Diceros bicornis minor: one gene and its partner. The protein of the gene in region 2 interacts with the protein of the main gene of each other region in a pairwise test. Links are inferred from orthologs where the notes say so. Each region holds a gene or a part of one and is shown on either strand. Other genes may lie near its edges.

Region 1 (7,101 bases), on a different chromosome or scaffold from region 2:
CCAGGATATTGTTTGCTTTAAAAAACAAAAAGTGTAGAGGACAGTGTGATACTGGTTCAACACGAGGTTGACATGAGGGAAGCCATATTGTAGGAAAGAAACCCTATTGTAACTTTGAATGACCTCTGATTAACTGACATGCTCTGTGGATTCTATGGCCCCTCCCAGCTGCTATAAGTTGATAACTTTGTTCTTTTGAGTTCCTTAGGAATGTGATGACCCCCGGGCAGAGAGGCTATGCTGATAGCCATCATTAATGACAACTGAAAGATCTGGGTATAGGGCGTTGCTCCGGTCTCTGATGCATATCCAGTAAAACAAAAGACTATCAGGAACTAAACAGACTATCAGGAACAGATATCTGCTCCCACCCAGAGATCAGATGGATGCCCCCACCCAGAGACCAGATGCCTCCCCCACCAGGAGACCAGCCCCCTATATAACTGGCCTGTAATCTTTGTGCTGTAAGATGGCTTTTTTAGGTCATGAGTTGGCCGTCTTCCCTCTTGCTAGCAAGCTGTAATAAAAAGTCCTTTCTCTCCTACCACCTTGCCTCTTGACTATTGGCATGTCTTGCAGCAGGCAGAAGACGCCCCCTTGGGCAGTAACAAGTGCATATAGTTTGATCCCACTGGATATATATATCTCTCTCTCTCTCTCCAATAAAATGCATACACAATTTATAATGTGTTTTGCTTTATACATAAAGGCCTATATAAAAACTAAGTTGTTTGTTTCTGCTCTTTGACATAACTTAACCCATTGCATGTACTTGAAAATATAAAGTCCCTATCTCCATTGGAACATGTTATTAACATCTGAAAAATTTTGTTATCTTCTTGGGAGACTCCATATCACACATGTTTGAAGATGCAGAGACTCAGAAATGGAGACTTTTAATGGTGGTTGCCCCTGGGGAGAGGCTGGGTCTGGAGAGTAAGGAGACTTTATGTTGCTGTATATACACTTTTGTGCTGCTTGCATTTTTGCCGTGTGGAAGTAGTACCTTAAAAAAAAAAAAGTGGGGCCAGCCCAGTGGCATAGTGGTTGACTTCATGCTCTGCTTCATAGGACTGGGGTTCGCGGGTTTGGATCCTACATGCCACTCATCAAGCCATGCTGTGGCAGCATCCCACTTACAAAACAGAGGAAGACTGGCAACAGATGCTAGCTCAGGGCTAATCTTACCAAAAAAAAAAAAAAAAAAAAAAAAACAAACAACAAAATAAATCAAACCCCTTTGATATTCCTCCTCAAACAAGAGCACAGAAAAAGTGCTTCATGCTTTGGCAGCCGTCTTGTGCCTGTGGAAGGAAAGACCAAAAGAATCGCACAGAGATCAAGCCACTTGCCAGGGCCACAAGCTCAGATCTTTCTTTCTTTCTTTTTTTTTTTTAAATAGTCTTTATTGGTTTACACCACGTGCAGCCAGCTCAGAACAAGACGAATGAACAATGGGCTGAGAAGCAGTGTTCCTGAAGGAACAGCGCTTGGCTAGGGGGTCCTTCTAGTTTTGTTTTGTTTTGTTTTGTTTTGTTTTGTTTTGTTTTGTTTTGTTTTGTTTTGTTGGTGAGGGAGATTGGTCCTGAGTTAACATCTATGCCCATCTTCCTCTATTTTGTATGTGGGACGCCGCCACAGCATGGCTTGATGAGTGGTGTGTCGGTCCACACCTGGGATCCCGGGCTGAACCCCGGGACGCCAAAGTGGCGCACATGAACTTAACCACTATGCCACCAGGCCGGCCCCAGCATGGATCTCTCTGGTGCCAGATCCTGGGCCTCTACCACAGTGCTGCATGGTCATGATTCCCTCTGGAAAGCCCCCACCATCATGCAGGGGCAATGTCTTCTCTGCTCCCAGCGTCTTGGGCTTCCTCCTCACAGCACCTGACACGCTGTATTGCAAGGACCTATTCACTTGTTTCCTTCTTTCCTTGTCTTCCTCCTCTATCAGACTGAATTCTGGGGTGGCAGGTCAGCCTTGCTCACTGCCATATCTCCAAGGCCTGCTGCCCTGCTAAGAGATTGGGAGAAAGGACTTCCTGAGCAACTCGCTCCACCCCTAGGATTATTTCTCCTCTGGTGAACCCTGGGTGGGATGGCTGCCTTTAAGTTTGGCAGAACCCAGGTGTCCCTGCCCCCGGCTCAGTTACACCGGTTCCTTAGAACCATCTCCTGCCCCATCAGCACACAGCAGTGGAGAGAAGAGATCCCCGCATTCTGATCCTCTGGGTCAGAATCCCAGGAAACAAGAGGGCAAAGGGGGCCTGCCAGCTGGCAACTTGGGTCGTGACCCAGCACTTTTCCCTTCTGAGAAGCACCTTCCTCCTCCTAGAAGGAGCAGCTCTGACAGCAGATCCGTTTGCCGCCCAGACAGAGTGATGGGGCTGCCCTAGCCCCTCAAAGGGCAGTCACTGAGTCCCTTCATGCGAAGCCCAGAATTATAAGTACCAGGGTGTGTGTAGGGGGTGGGGGACAAGGTCTCTTGTCTCCTGAGGCTCCTCCCCCTCCCACCTGGGTCCAGGAGAGGGAGTCAGTGCTGTCTAGTCCTGGGACTTCTCACTGCCCACTCCCTACTCCCTCCTCAGGATGGCTTAGCCCAGCTGGGGCTGGCAGGCCCCCCAGTAGATCCCCCCACTCCCCATGGAGCCCAAGCCCCCAACAATCCCAGACTTTATTTTCCTCCCCCTTCAGCAGCACTCCCCATCCCCTTCCAATCAGCCCCAGCCTGTAACTCAGCATCACGATCCCGTGCTTGAGCTATCTTTGAATCAAACATCGAGAAATTAGAACTTCTTTTTTTAAAAAAAAAAAGACTAACATTTACTTTTTTCCCAATTACCAAAGTAACATATGTTCATCGCAGATAATCTGGGAAAACACCAAAAAGCAGCAAAGAGGAAAATGAGCCTCAGCAATTCCACCATCTAGTGGCAACCACCATCAACACCTTGGGTGACCCAGTATTTCTTTTTTATAATTTTTATTTATTTTTTTTTCCCCAAAGCCCCGGTAGATAGTTGTATGTCATAGCTGCACATCCTTCTAGTTGCTGTATGTGGGACGCAGCCTCAGCACGGCCGGAGAAGCGGTGCGTCGGTGCGAGCCCGGGATCCGAACACAGGCCACCAGTAGCAGAGCGCACGCACTGAACCGCTAAGTCACAGGGCCGGCCCTGACCCAGAAATACCGACCCAGTATTTCTATGTGAATGCAAAGATGTGCTCCTTCCAAACTTCCTCAGGCACATCAATCCCCTCAGCTCACCCTTGACCTTCTGACCTCCCCTCTTGCCCCATATGTCTTCTGCAAACTATTAGAGGATTGTCAGAGGCTGGTCCCAAATCAATCCTTACTACAATCCTAGGGTGGGAATTGTTACCCGCTTTCCATAGATGAGAAAAATGAGAATCAGAGAGTGGAAGCGTCTTGCTTGTGACCATACAGCTTAATATGAAGGGGTGAGGTTGGGGTTTCGACTCATCTGCCTGGATCCAAAGCCTGTGTCTCCAATGTGAATAAGCTTTCCCTTCAGATTCCTTGCCCTCTCAAGCCCACTCTGAGGGACTCTGAAGAGGATCGAGGAACCACGGAAAGTTCTGAGGCAGGAAGGCCCCTGAGCCTAGAATTTGTGGTAGGGTCTCTTGGGCCAGCTCCCTAAGGCAGAGCAGCTCCAACTGGGTCACAGAGCGTCTACCCTTTCCCTATTACGTCTTCCGCCTAATCTCACATCCTAGTTTGAGAAGGTGGATTGGGTGATTCAGAAGTGGTGGCCCCTCTTGGGAGTGAATCCCTTTAGGCTCCCCAAACCGCACAATCCTGCCTGCTGACAAGGAACAGTTGACCAGTTCCATTAGCAGCTGTTCGGTTGAACTTAGAGAGGGGGGGCCCCTGTCCGGCCCTGGGGAACCACACCAGGGGGGCTACTTTGGGGCTGCAAGGCAAGGTTGAGATCTGGTACAAGGCGCCCCCTGCCGGGCGGGAGCGACCTTCCTGGAAGAGAGCCCTGGGAGGTTTTGCACTTGTGCCCTTTCCAGCTGCCTCCCGGTGTTGTAGGTTGGTGTGCAACGTCCTATCTAATAAGTGCTGGTTTCCAGGCCAGGATCAGGCGGCTCCTTCGCTTGTGGACTGTGGTCTGCACCCCAGGAATCCCGGGGGGGGGGGCCGAAATAGGAGGCATCCCGCCCTGAATGAAGGCAGGGGGCCGGACGCCATGACTACAGTACTCGACCCAGGCTCTCCATGGCCCCGAAGCTACAATAAGAGGAATCGTCAGGCTCAGGAACGAGAGGTCACCCCCTCCCCCCGGGATGTCCCCCGAGCCTCCCTGGCGTCCCCACCAGACGCCACACAGTCGGTGTCTCCCCATAGCGAAAGGGCCTCAATTAACGGCTTCCAAACGGCTGGGCGCTGGCCCCTGACCTCTGACTCTCCCTCGGTGCCCCTTCCCCAGCCCCGCACAGCCCGGGACCCCCAATTGGCCCCCTGCACCGAAGGCAGGTGTCTTCCAGCCCAGGATCGGGAACCCAAAGCCCGGCCTGGGGCCGGGAACGACCCGGCCCGGTGTTGACGGACACCGGGAGGAGCAGAGCCGGGAGCTTCCGGCGGCGCACTTCCGCTTCCGGCTCTCAGCGTCGATTCTGGCCCTGGCTCTGCCCTCGAGCGAGGAGGTTGTGGCGTCGGCTGGTTCCAGGCGATTGGAGGTGAGGGGGCCAGGTGGAGAGGTTCGGAGTCGGGGAAGGCTGAGGGGACCCGGCCGTCAAGGGTCTGCGGGCCGGCGAGAGGCGAGGCCGGGCCTGCGGGCGACCTGAATGGCGGCGGGGCGGGGAGGGGGTGGCGCGACTGCTCGGGGTCTGCGATCCTGGGAAACGGGACCTGGGGCCCGGGAGGACTCGGGTCTGGGGGTTGGGAGGGCGAACGTAAGACTCAGTAACCGGGGGTCTTGGGGCCTGGGAGACCCCTGAAGTCCGACTCTGGGGCCCCTCACCCCCCGCCCTGTGTAGCTGCAGACAGGATGATCGAGGTTGTCTGCAACGACCGTCTGGGGAAGAAGGTCCGCGTTAAGTGCAAGTATCCACTGGCGGCCGAGAGGCAGTGGTCCCTGGGAGCTTGGCATGAGCCAGGCAACTCAGCCTGTTTTGTGGGGTGATTTTAGTTAAAGCCGGGAGAGGGGGTGGATGGGGTCCTGGCAGCGTGCATTTAGCCCTGGAATGTCCTCTTCCGCGTTCTACTTCCCGCCGCCTTCCATTTCCTTAACTCCTCTGCGCCCAGCACGGATGACACCATCGGGGACCTTAAGAAGCTGATCGCAGCCCAAACTGGCACCCGTTGGAACAAGATCGTCCTTAAGAAGTGGTGAGTGCAGTGGCAGAGCTGGGGGCCGGACAGGACTGGGCCAGAAGGTTTTGGTTGGGGGTGCGCTGCTGGCTGCCCTTTGCTTACAGCAGGGCTTCCTCAGCCTGCCTCCGGGGTGAAGAGCCGCCTGAGGCGTCTGTCTGAAAGGTTTCTTTCCCCGTAGGTACACGATCTTTAAGGATCACGTGTCTCTGGGGGACTGTATCCTTTGTGTGACTTCTTGAGGAAGAGTGTGCATACCCAGACTTGGTTCTTTTTGCTCAATACCGGAGTCTATGTGACATAATGCACATAACGTGTTTAACTTAGTGTGTGGCACATGGTAAGAACTTAGAAAATGAGAGCCATGTCATTATTTTGTTGGGGGAGGTGGGCGGTAGACGTGTGAGGTATTTTGACTCAGCTTAGAAGACACTTTAAGGTCAAAATATTTATTACTGAGCTCCGCCCGGGTGTGAAGAGGAGGTCAGGGTGGAGTGAGACTTGGGCATGTCTGTTGTGCAGAAGGAACAGGAACGTTTTTTATAGTTTGGATTCTCTCCAAATCAAAAGGAGCCAGTCCCAAACGGCTTCCTTGGTCCTGGGCTGAGTCCTCAGTTCCCCTTGACCCAGGTGTGAGAGATGAGAGGGGTGGGGATGGAGCCCACAGTGAGGATTCCTTAACCCCTTTACTTCAGATGAAATCCATGATGGCATGAACTTGGAGCTTTATTACCAATAGAGCAGAATTTCTTCCCCCTGCCCTGCTCTCCCCTCTTTTCTCTTTTCTCCCACCCTCACCCCTCACACTGGTATGGATGCTTGTTTTTAAAGACTCATGTTAATAAAAACTGAGAAGCTCCTTCCTTGTTGTCATCTTTGAGTGAGGGCTGTCTAACGAGGGGAGGGTTGGTATCTGGTCGTCACTCTCTCTCAGTACCCAGCTGCTCCATAAGAGGTCACGAAGGAGGAAGAGTCAGCCAGCAGACTGGGAGCCTGAGTGGAAGCCCAGAGTGCTGGGGCTTGCCATGGGTCTCTGAAGGTCACGAGATCCTGGGATTATTGTCATCCTAAAAGACCAAGTTGCCTCTGAGTAGGGACCAAGTTGCCTCTGAGTAGGGACAGTATGTACTAGTTAGGGATACAAGTTCTGGATTCAGACCGACTGTGGGTGGAATCCCAGCTCTGCCACCAACAGTGACCCTGGGCTAGTTACTTAACTTCCCTAAGCCTTCATTTCCTTATCCAAACTGGAAGTGATGGTGCGTACTTCACTGGTGTGTTGTGAAGTGTAGATGAGAGAAAGCCTGGGTAAGCATCTCCAGTTCCTGGCACTTATGAAATCCTAGTGGACAGAGCGAGGCAGTGTGCCATAGGCTGAATTTTGACTGATTTAGCAGTGAGATTTGGGGAAGTCAGCCTCTCTGATACTGTTTCCTCCTCTCAAAAGGGGCACCATGATGGCGCCCGCATCTCGATGAGATACTGCAGTTAAAACAGCAGGATGCCTGGCACATAGTGTTGTTAGCTCCAGCCTTCCCCCAGGTGTGAGTACACAGGACACCAAAAACATCTCTGTTCCCTTGTCCCCAGATCCTGGGGTTGACCTTGGCCCTGGCCTTTCCCAGAGCCCTCCATTCTGGAGCCCTTCTCCAGAACATCACCTAGAACCTTGCTCCATCCCTCTTCAGTACATGAACAAGTCCAAGTCCAGCCCACTGCTCCTGCCCGCCCCCCAAGCTCCATCCAGCCTTCTGCCTTCCTT
Region 2 (8,514 bases):
AATAGAAATTATAAGAATTATTGCATTTTCTGCCTTTGGTTAACTGTTTTAAAAGCCCTGAAGAAGGAAAATGACAAGCTCAGGTCAGCCAATTGTTAACTTAAAATACACTGTAGAGTCAGAGGCCTCCTGTAGTCACAGGGAAGATTGTGTTGAAAATCAGACCCAGGATCTAATTTTAAGAGTAGCAAAGCTACAAAGGAGACTGAGTGCATAGCCTCAATGGTCTCCTATGCTAAAGTTCAGAACCCTGAGAAGCACATCTCTAGTGTATTTAATATACTGTCCTTAAAATCTATCCTCATGTCGCTTATTTTTTTATTTTATTTTTATTTTTTTTGCTGAGGAAGATTCGCCCTGAGCTATCTGTTGCCAATCTTCCTCTTTTTGCTTGAGGAAGATTTGCCCTGAACTAACATCGGTGCCAATCTTCCTCTATTTTGTATGTGGGTCACCGTCACAGCATGGCTGCTGATGAGTGGTGTAGGTCCACACCCAGGAACCGAAGCTGGGCAGCCAAAGCAGAGCACACTGAACTTAGCCACTAGGCCACAGGGCCAGCCCTGTCACTTATTTAAATATATGTGTATCGTTGAAAATATGTAGTGTAGTTGTGGTTTTTAAAATTTTGCATAAATGATATGTGTTATAAATTACATTTTCTTTTTTACTCACCATTAAATTTTTAGGTCTATTTATATTGCTACATGTAAGTTTAGTTCATTGCTTTTAACTGATGTGCAGTATATAGCCATCTTACTTATCCATTGCCCCAGTGATGGACATCTACATTGTTGCCAATTTTTTCTTCCTGTCATGTCCAAATGTCAAAGCATCCTCACACATGTCTCCTTATGGGGTTAAAGAATTCCAGTGGGGTATCATCCCATTCTTCACACGGCCAGCTTCTCCTTTTCCTTTAGCCTCAACTAGAATGTCACCTCTGCCCAGAACCTTTCTGTTACCATCCCAGCTAAAGCAGGCCCTCCTCAGTTATTCTTTCAGTCCCTAGTTTGTTTCCTTCATAGCACATATAAAAAGTTAAAGTATTTTGCTTATTTCCATTTTTTTCTCTCTCTCCCACTGGAACCTAAGCTCCATGGAGCCAGGTATTTTGTCTGCCTTGTATACTTTTGTACCCCCAGCACCTAGGATAGCGTTTGGCATAAGGAGGAGCCCAATATGAATGAATGAAGAAAGAAAGGATGAATAGAAGAAGGGAGAAAGCTCTTGAGAGGAAATTTGAGGATGATCCCAACTTGGCTGACTGAGTCCTGAGGAAAGAAATGCCAGTAAGAAATTATCTATAACGGGAAATGATTGGATACCTTAAGAACTGTGGATTCTGATACTAAAGTTTGTTTTTGTTTCTGTGTTATACCCACCCTCCAGTATCCTCAAAATTTTAAGCCTATTCCTCATAAAAGCTATGTGTTAGTAGGCTTTGGAGAACAAAGGGGAAGAGGTCTGTGTCAACAGTTGGTACAAAATGGTTATGACATAAAGATAGCAACTGAAGATGAGACAGTGTAAGGGAGCTGAGGGATAGAACCAGGAATGGGAATTTGGAATAAGAGGTGACAGGAAGCTAGGAGAAAAGTTAACACCCTCTCCAAAAGTCATTAGAATACTCTAAAGGATACTGTACTTCCTATAATTGCATGAAATAGAAACTTGATATTTGTACATTAAAAGAAAGGGCAACACCAGATGATTCGAAGACAAATATATATTACATATTTTCATACTTTTATGTAGAGTACCATAATGTTCATAAGAAATTTAGGATTTAGGTAAATATATTTTCCTTCAATGGTTTCATTGGATGGTTGATTGTTCAGACTATGGCAGTGGGCGTTAAGAAACTCTAATTTGCTAACCTGGCTCCAAAGCCCTTTATTTGAAAGTAGCAGAAATGACACGGAGATTGGGATAACCAGCCTATCCTATTCCCTATAGAACTTCTAAATTAACTCACTCCCCAAACCCTTCTCTCCCCACCTCACCTACACACTGCAAAGTGCATTGTGTATCAGGGAATTCTTCTAGCCCTGTTTGGTGGGACTGAATCCTGCTTAATAGTGTGCTCTGTGAATCTAATCTCCTTACAACCAGTGTCAGGAAACGCTGGAGAAACCCCAGATGTTATCCACCTAAGGTGGCAGGCAGCATGGGACGCATGGGAGACCCTTTGTGACTTGCTGTTGACAGTGAATAAGGCACACTGGGACCTCTGATGATCTTGATGTGCTGGAGATAAATTGACCCATTGTTTCATTATGAGCCTTCGATGATATATTACCTTGGAAATTGGCTTTTTTAAGGCAAACTCCTTTGGTCTTGCTGAAAGATGGACTCAGTATGTTTTTCCCTAATGACTAAGTAAAGTAAGTTTCTAAGTACTTTGTTGTAGGAGTTGAAGCAGTCAGTAGAATGAGTTAAACAAAAGAGGTTTGGAGCAAGTAAGGCCTGAGACTGAAACTTGGTTCTGGTACTTGATAACTGTGACCTAGAGCAAGTAACCAATGATCGCTTTATAGGGTTGTTTAGATTATTAAATGAGATTATGAATATAAAGTAGTTAGAACATAGTGAGTATTTAATTGATGGATAAAAATAAAAAAAACTAATTGAATACAGATCGGTAATTATAAGCAACTTATAACAGAGGCTATAACTCTCTAAAGGTTTGTTTACATCTTTGTGAAGATTTATATAGATGATAAGCTTTTATTAAACTTAATTTACACAATTTAGACTTTTACTCTGGATCTCTGCTTTCATAGATGACTATATTCTATGTCTGAAGTCAAGCATGTAGAATATCTGTGCTAGAATATATGATAAGAATATTCCTCTGGTTGTTCTTCAAAGCTAAGATTCTTTAAACATGGTTTAACTTAAGGTTTTCTTGGACATATTTATTCTTGTGTAGAGATGAAGCTACTGGATTAGGCAGTTTTTCCAGTGTTGGTAGTGGATTCTCAGAAATTTAGACCTTTTCATTAAGTCTTCTGACCAATGGTGTTCATTTTCCAGGTAACTGACTTAATAGAAATAGTTGAGGCTGCCATGTAAGATTGTTAAGCTAACTCGCGCAAGGACTCATTCTACTTTTGATTTAACCACTTTGGAACTTTAGCAAATGGCCAAAAGCAATTTACGTAAACAACGTAATGGGCACTGAGATACCAAAGAATATAAATCAGGTCCCTGTCTCCAGTCAAAACACAGAAGCCACACAGAGCAGTTAGGAGCACCACAGTGCTGCATCACACGTCATAGACACACTAGGGATAGGATATTCTCAACCTCACTTGGATCACTACACACTTTGAAATGTTAGTCCTTTTGGTGGCACACAAATTAAAATACTCCAAATGACACTAAAACAAGATAGCAGTAACTACAAAGCAGAGTCCACTATTGGGTAACACTGTTTTGTGACATATATAAATGCCTCTGTAGGTGGCCGTTCCACTTGGCTGCCTTTTAACTTATGTTGCTGTTTGAGAACTGTGCACTGTCCTGACCATATTCTCTTACATCCTCACAAGACTAAGATCTCTCATACTCCAGCCAAAAGGGGAACTATCTTTGGTGCCAGCTTGAATTTATGCCTCTATGTGCAGCAAGCTGAGCCTCATTTTACCTTGCAAGATGGCACAGTCCACTCAGCTCAACATTCCATCTGATAGATGTCCCTGAAACGGCATGTGTAATCAGTTGTAGAACCAATAAATATCACTCTTTGGGCAAAATTGGTTGGCTTACCTGGGTGGCTCCAGAGACACCAGTGTGCCTTGGCCAACTGTTTGAGGACCTTATCTTTAACTGGAGTAGTCAAGAGAAGGAGACGGGCGGGAACCGATGTAGTCAGGGACAGCATCTTAGAGATGGACCTTGAAGGATGGGTGAGATTTAAATTTGTAGATGCAGAAATGGTGGCTATTCCAGATGAGGAGAATAGTATTGTTTGTCTCATTCTGCAGCATAAAAAATTTTCATTTCCAATTGTCTTTGCAACTGCACTTCACTTCTTGAAGTGGGGTACAATCTCCATGAGAAATCACATTTTGAAGTGTAGCACAATCTCGAGAATTCCATTTATCCAAAGTACACAGCACAAGTTTCTATGATGTTAGATCACTAAATTGCATTGCCCTCCTTTCACTTAACAAGGTATAAGAGCTCAGGTCTCCCACATGCTATTGGGTTTATGCCACAACAGTCCAACCCTGCCCTCCCAAATTTGATTTCTGGCTTTCCTTTTTATCCAGGGAATCCTGGTCAGAATACAGAGACCCCTTGGCACTTCTCAGTGCTAACCAGACCCAACCCCTTCCCAGCATCCGGCACTGTCAACTTTTCCCTCATTTAAGCCCCTCTCTCCCTTGCTCTCTCTGTACCGTACTCTTGGTTCTCCTCTACTTCTGATCATTCCTTCTCAGGCTCTTTTCCTCTGTGCCCTAAAAGTGTTCCCAAAGGCGCAGACTTGGACCCTTTTCTCTCTCCTCTACACACTCACAATTGGGGAACTGTCTAGGGAGTCTTAGAACTGCAAAATACTTTATTTGAGCTAAGCAAGCCCCTTAGTGGATGCTCACCAGCTCTCAGACGTTACTTTGTCTTGATTAAATAAAACCGACCCACAGGGACAAATAACAGGGAGAACTTCGTTATGGAAACTTCCAGCTACCATATCTGCTCGGGAGGCAGGGATTATAACAGAAAGAACCTTGTAAATAGTGTCAATTGAAACTTCCTCGTTTTCTGTTGCGTCCTTCTGATTAGGAGCACAGGCACTCAAAAGATAAGCACCCTCGAACATGTTTTCCGAGACATCCTCTTTATGCGACTCCATTTTATACTGGAAGCCCCAAGCGGGCTGGACTACACGTATCGGGTTCACGGTGTGGGGGCTCATCTCCTGCGTGTCGGCTCTGTCTGCAGTTGAGGGTTGGCAGTCAAAGCGCGGTGGTGTGACCCGCTTGAGCCGGAGAGCAGGAAACGAGGCCTCGGCTGCTCTGCCGAGGGATGCCGCCCTCAAGGTAACTCCACCTGAAACAGCAGACAGGTGCCACAGGACTAGAGCAGGCCGCAGGCTTTCCCTCCCAGCTTCACCCACATTGTCCCTGAACGAAAACAACCTGAGAGGTCGCCCGTGCCCCACCAGGCCTCTGGGCGAGAACGTCCCGGACCGCGCAGCCGCAGTGTGGAGGGCCAGGCCCACCCCGGAAGACACACGGAGCCCCGCCCCTTACGGGGAGCGGCGGGAGCGCGCGAGGCTCTGTCACGCAGTCGCGTCCGCGCAGCGTAGGTGACGCTAGAGGCCGCCTCCGGGGTTGAAGTCAGAGCATTGCCGCCATTTTGTCGAGTGTTTGTCGCAGCGGCTGGAGAGAGAAGACGGCGGTTTGGCGACGTTTCTCGGTCAAAGGGCCTTTTGCCTTTGTGGAGGTAAGGTTTCGTGTGGGGTGTGCTGGGCTGGCAGGTTTCCCAGTGTCTTGTCTCGAAGCCAGGAGTGGGAGAAACGACCGGGCTCCGGGCCTCGGCCACTGGGGTTCCTTCGGGGCGCCGGTCCGCTGCTGGCCTTTAAAAGCTAAAGTTGCCCAGGTGTCGTGGTAGATTTAGCGTTCTGGGGCAGAGGGCCGCGGTTCTGCCGCTGGTCTTTTTCTGAGGGCCCTGGCCGCTCGCGTCGCGGCTCTGGAGGTCTGGGCTTGTTCCGCCAGCGAGAGCGAGGACCTGTCCGGAGACCCTCGAGAGCCGCCCCCAGGGGTGTGTTGTCGGAGGTTAAGTTCTCTCTTGGTTGCTTGGTCTCCGCCGTTTGTCGCCTTTAGGGGCTGTTCCCGAGTCAGACAGTTTCTCCCTCCCTGGGGGTGTGCCAGAGGCCCTCGCCAGGTGCCCCGGGGCGGAGAGGCGGGGTGGGACTGGGCGTCCAAGGAACGGCAAGTCCGCAAGTGCAGGTGCGGGAATTTAGCTCGTGCTTGTGAGACGTGGAAATGTGGGGAGGTTCGTCCTTTGTGCGACACAGCTTTTTTCAAGTTGGAGCATACCATTGTTGCAGCAGGTCTGTTTTTCTGATGCTTTTGCATCGTATTATCGTTGATTAAGTAGACGCGATGTGCTGCTTCGATCCTTGGGAAACAGCCCTCCCAACTGACCGTGCCAGCCACCTGGTGTTAAAGCTGTCCTTGTATGATTTCGCTCCATACACACCCCCTACAGGCTTCTTGTTACCCATTAAATGCATTCCTCCTGGAGCGATCTAATCATAACTTTAACCTGTTTCGATTTTTTTAAGCCATATACAGAGCGTGAAATTGTCAGGTATTAAAGGGCAGTAGAGGATCAGATTTCTAATACGGATATGTATACATTTCGGATCCATTGTGCCTGATGTTTTTGTTTAGAATCGAGTGATTCTAGCGCGTTGGATTCTTTATTAATTAGAGGTAAGGTATGTGAAGGAACCTTATCCGTAGAACATGAGTTGGGGATTCTCTTTGCCTCCTGAGAAAATATTTCTAAACATTTCGGGGGGGGGGGTCTTCCCAACAGCTGAATTAAATTTAAAGTAGCGAATTTGACTAGAGAAATAAAAATCTTTGGCTCTGCCAAGATGCTTATTCTTATTTTAATATTTACATATTGATAACTTTAAGAATTCTGCCTTGTTAGAGGTGAGCTGGCTGTGGCAGACTGACAGAAGGAGAAAAAAACTAAAGCAAACACATGTTTTGCAAGAACTGCGTAATAATGGATGGTCATAATAATAACGCTGTTATCAGATGTTGTAATTTTGCTTGCAGATGCTTAACTGTGCTGTTTTAAAGAGTTCCTAATGTGGGTGTTTTTTTTTTTTTTTTCAATTTTGGTAATTGAAGGAAGGATCAGAAGAATTCTACTATAAATAAAAAATTCTTTTGGTGGCTCTTCTGATGGCTTTTTGCGTCAAGTTAATTTGAAGTGTCATTCATTTCAGTTTCCCATATTGAAGTGACTCTACATCAAACCAAAATTCTCAGTTAATTTCCAGTGAAAAGTTTAACAGGAGTTTTGGGATTTTTGTTTGAAGTGACCAATGCCTTCTTCTCGTTTATTTAAGCAAGGTAAAAGAGAAGCTACATTATCAGAAGGGTGCTTGATGGGCATAGAATTAGAATCAGCAAGAGAAGTCAGTCAAAAGGTTTGAATATTTGGTGGTATCAGGCACTAAAGGCATGATACATAATTTTCTTAGGGAATACCTCCCAGGAGAATTGAAGCTGCCTCATTTCAAAGTCTTTTTTTAATCCATGTGAAATTGTGTAACTGTTTACATGAGTTTGCTTGTTGAATAAGTCATTTGGGCAAGCTGAAAGAGGTTAACTAAGCTGGTTTTGCTCCATTTTACCTTTTTTCAGCTCCTTGCTGAGTTGTGAACTCACTCTGTTTTAGCAGAGTTTGGACATCATTGTTACAAACTTAAGTGCTTTGCAAAGTATTAAGATGGGGAGAGGCAGATAGGGATTACATTGTTTGAACACAGATAGGGAGCCTGGAAGGGTACTATGTATAAGAGGTTGTAGATGGAGTCCAGGAATTGTCACCATTATCATCTGATTTGATTGTGACTATGTGCATCCTTGTAGGTTGAATTCTTCTTCAGAGTCATCCCAGATCTACAACAAATATGTTTTAATTTTAAGAATAACTGTAGGATAGAGAAAATGAGTTCATAAAATAATCTTTATTGCCTTTCCAGTTTCTCTGTTGAATACTGTGCTATTGTTTTGGTTTTTTTTTCCTTTCAAAGCTTGGAGTCATTTTGAGATTGAGAAAGAAATTCTCGAGTATTTGAAAAAAAGAAGCTCTTTACTTTTAAAACAAAGTCACCGCCTATATTTAGTATCCTTAAGTGTTTCCCTGACTTCAGTTATTTGTATTACAGTATTTTGCCAAAGCTGCATGACACTTGTGATATTATTTCTCTTTAAATTAGCTCACATCTTAAAGTTAACATTTTTGAAAAGAAATCATATCAATAACTTAATTAAGAGATCAGTAATAATTTACCATAAAAAGGAGGTAATGATAAAATAAAATCAAAAAAGTTATTAATTTCCAGCTAGATATTGTTGTCTGCTGAAGGCTCTAAGCCTAAACCCTGTCTCTCTTTATTTTTAAAATGGCAGTTAGCAAGTGTTAGTTGAAGACAAGCAGCAAGCTGAGAATTTTTCCAGAAGAATTAAAAGAAACTGTATTAAGGTCTCACAGTGTTGTCATCATTTAGTACTAGATCTGTATGCCACTTATAATCATGTGACGTACCGATGGACTAGTGCCCCATGCCTTGAGAAACATTACCTACAAAGATTTTAGAACCTGTATGACTTTTTGTGCTGGGTGTTAATATTTCAATAGCATTAATGTATAATGTCTTATTTACTAAACATGACCATCTGTAACCTCCACAACTCACTTTGCATTTCCATTAACAGATGCGGCATTCCAAAAGAACTCACTGCCCTGATT

The links. The genes of interacting proteins can lie anywhere in the genome.
Region 1: the proteins of CLK4 (region 2) and UBL5 interact in a two-hybrid assay, tested with the Homo sapiens proteins (2 studies listed by BioGRID and IntAct). The link is inferred for Diceros bicornis minor from reciprocal best matches to the Homo sapiens genes CLK4 and UBL5.

What each region holds. Positions count from the first base shown.
Region 1 is NC_080769.1:9,228,648-9,235,748, reverse strand, and holds UBL5 (ubiquitin-like protein 5), read left to right. Parts: upstream 1-4,600; 5' UTR 4,601-4,705; intron 4,706-5,005; 5' UTR 5,006-5,016; coding exon 5,017-5,072; intron 5,073-5,273; coding exon 5,274-5,357; intron 5,358-5,520; coding exon 5,521-5,558; intron 5,559-6,034; coding exon 6,035-6,078; 3' UTR 6,079-6,199; downstream 6,200-7,101. UniProt on the Homo sapiens protein: Ubiquitin-like protein that plays a role in cell proliferation and sister chromatid cohesion by associating with spliceosomal proteins. Participates thereby in pre-mRNA splicing by maintaining spliceosome integrity.
Region 2 is NC_080740.1:91,392,811-91,401,324, reverse strand, and holds the start of CLK4 (dual specificity protein kinase CLK4), read left to right. Parts: upstream 1-5,330; 5' UTR 5,331-5,457; intron 5,458-6,982; exon of another isoform or gene 6,983-7,109; intron 7,110-8,480; coding exon of another isoform or gene 8,481-8,514. UniProt on the Homo sapiens protein: Dual specificity kinase acting on both serine/threonine and tyrosine-containing substrates.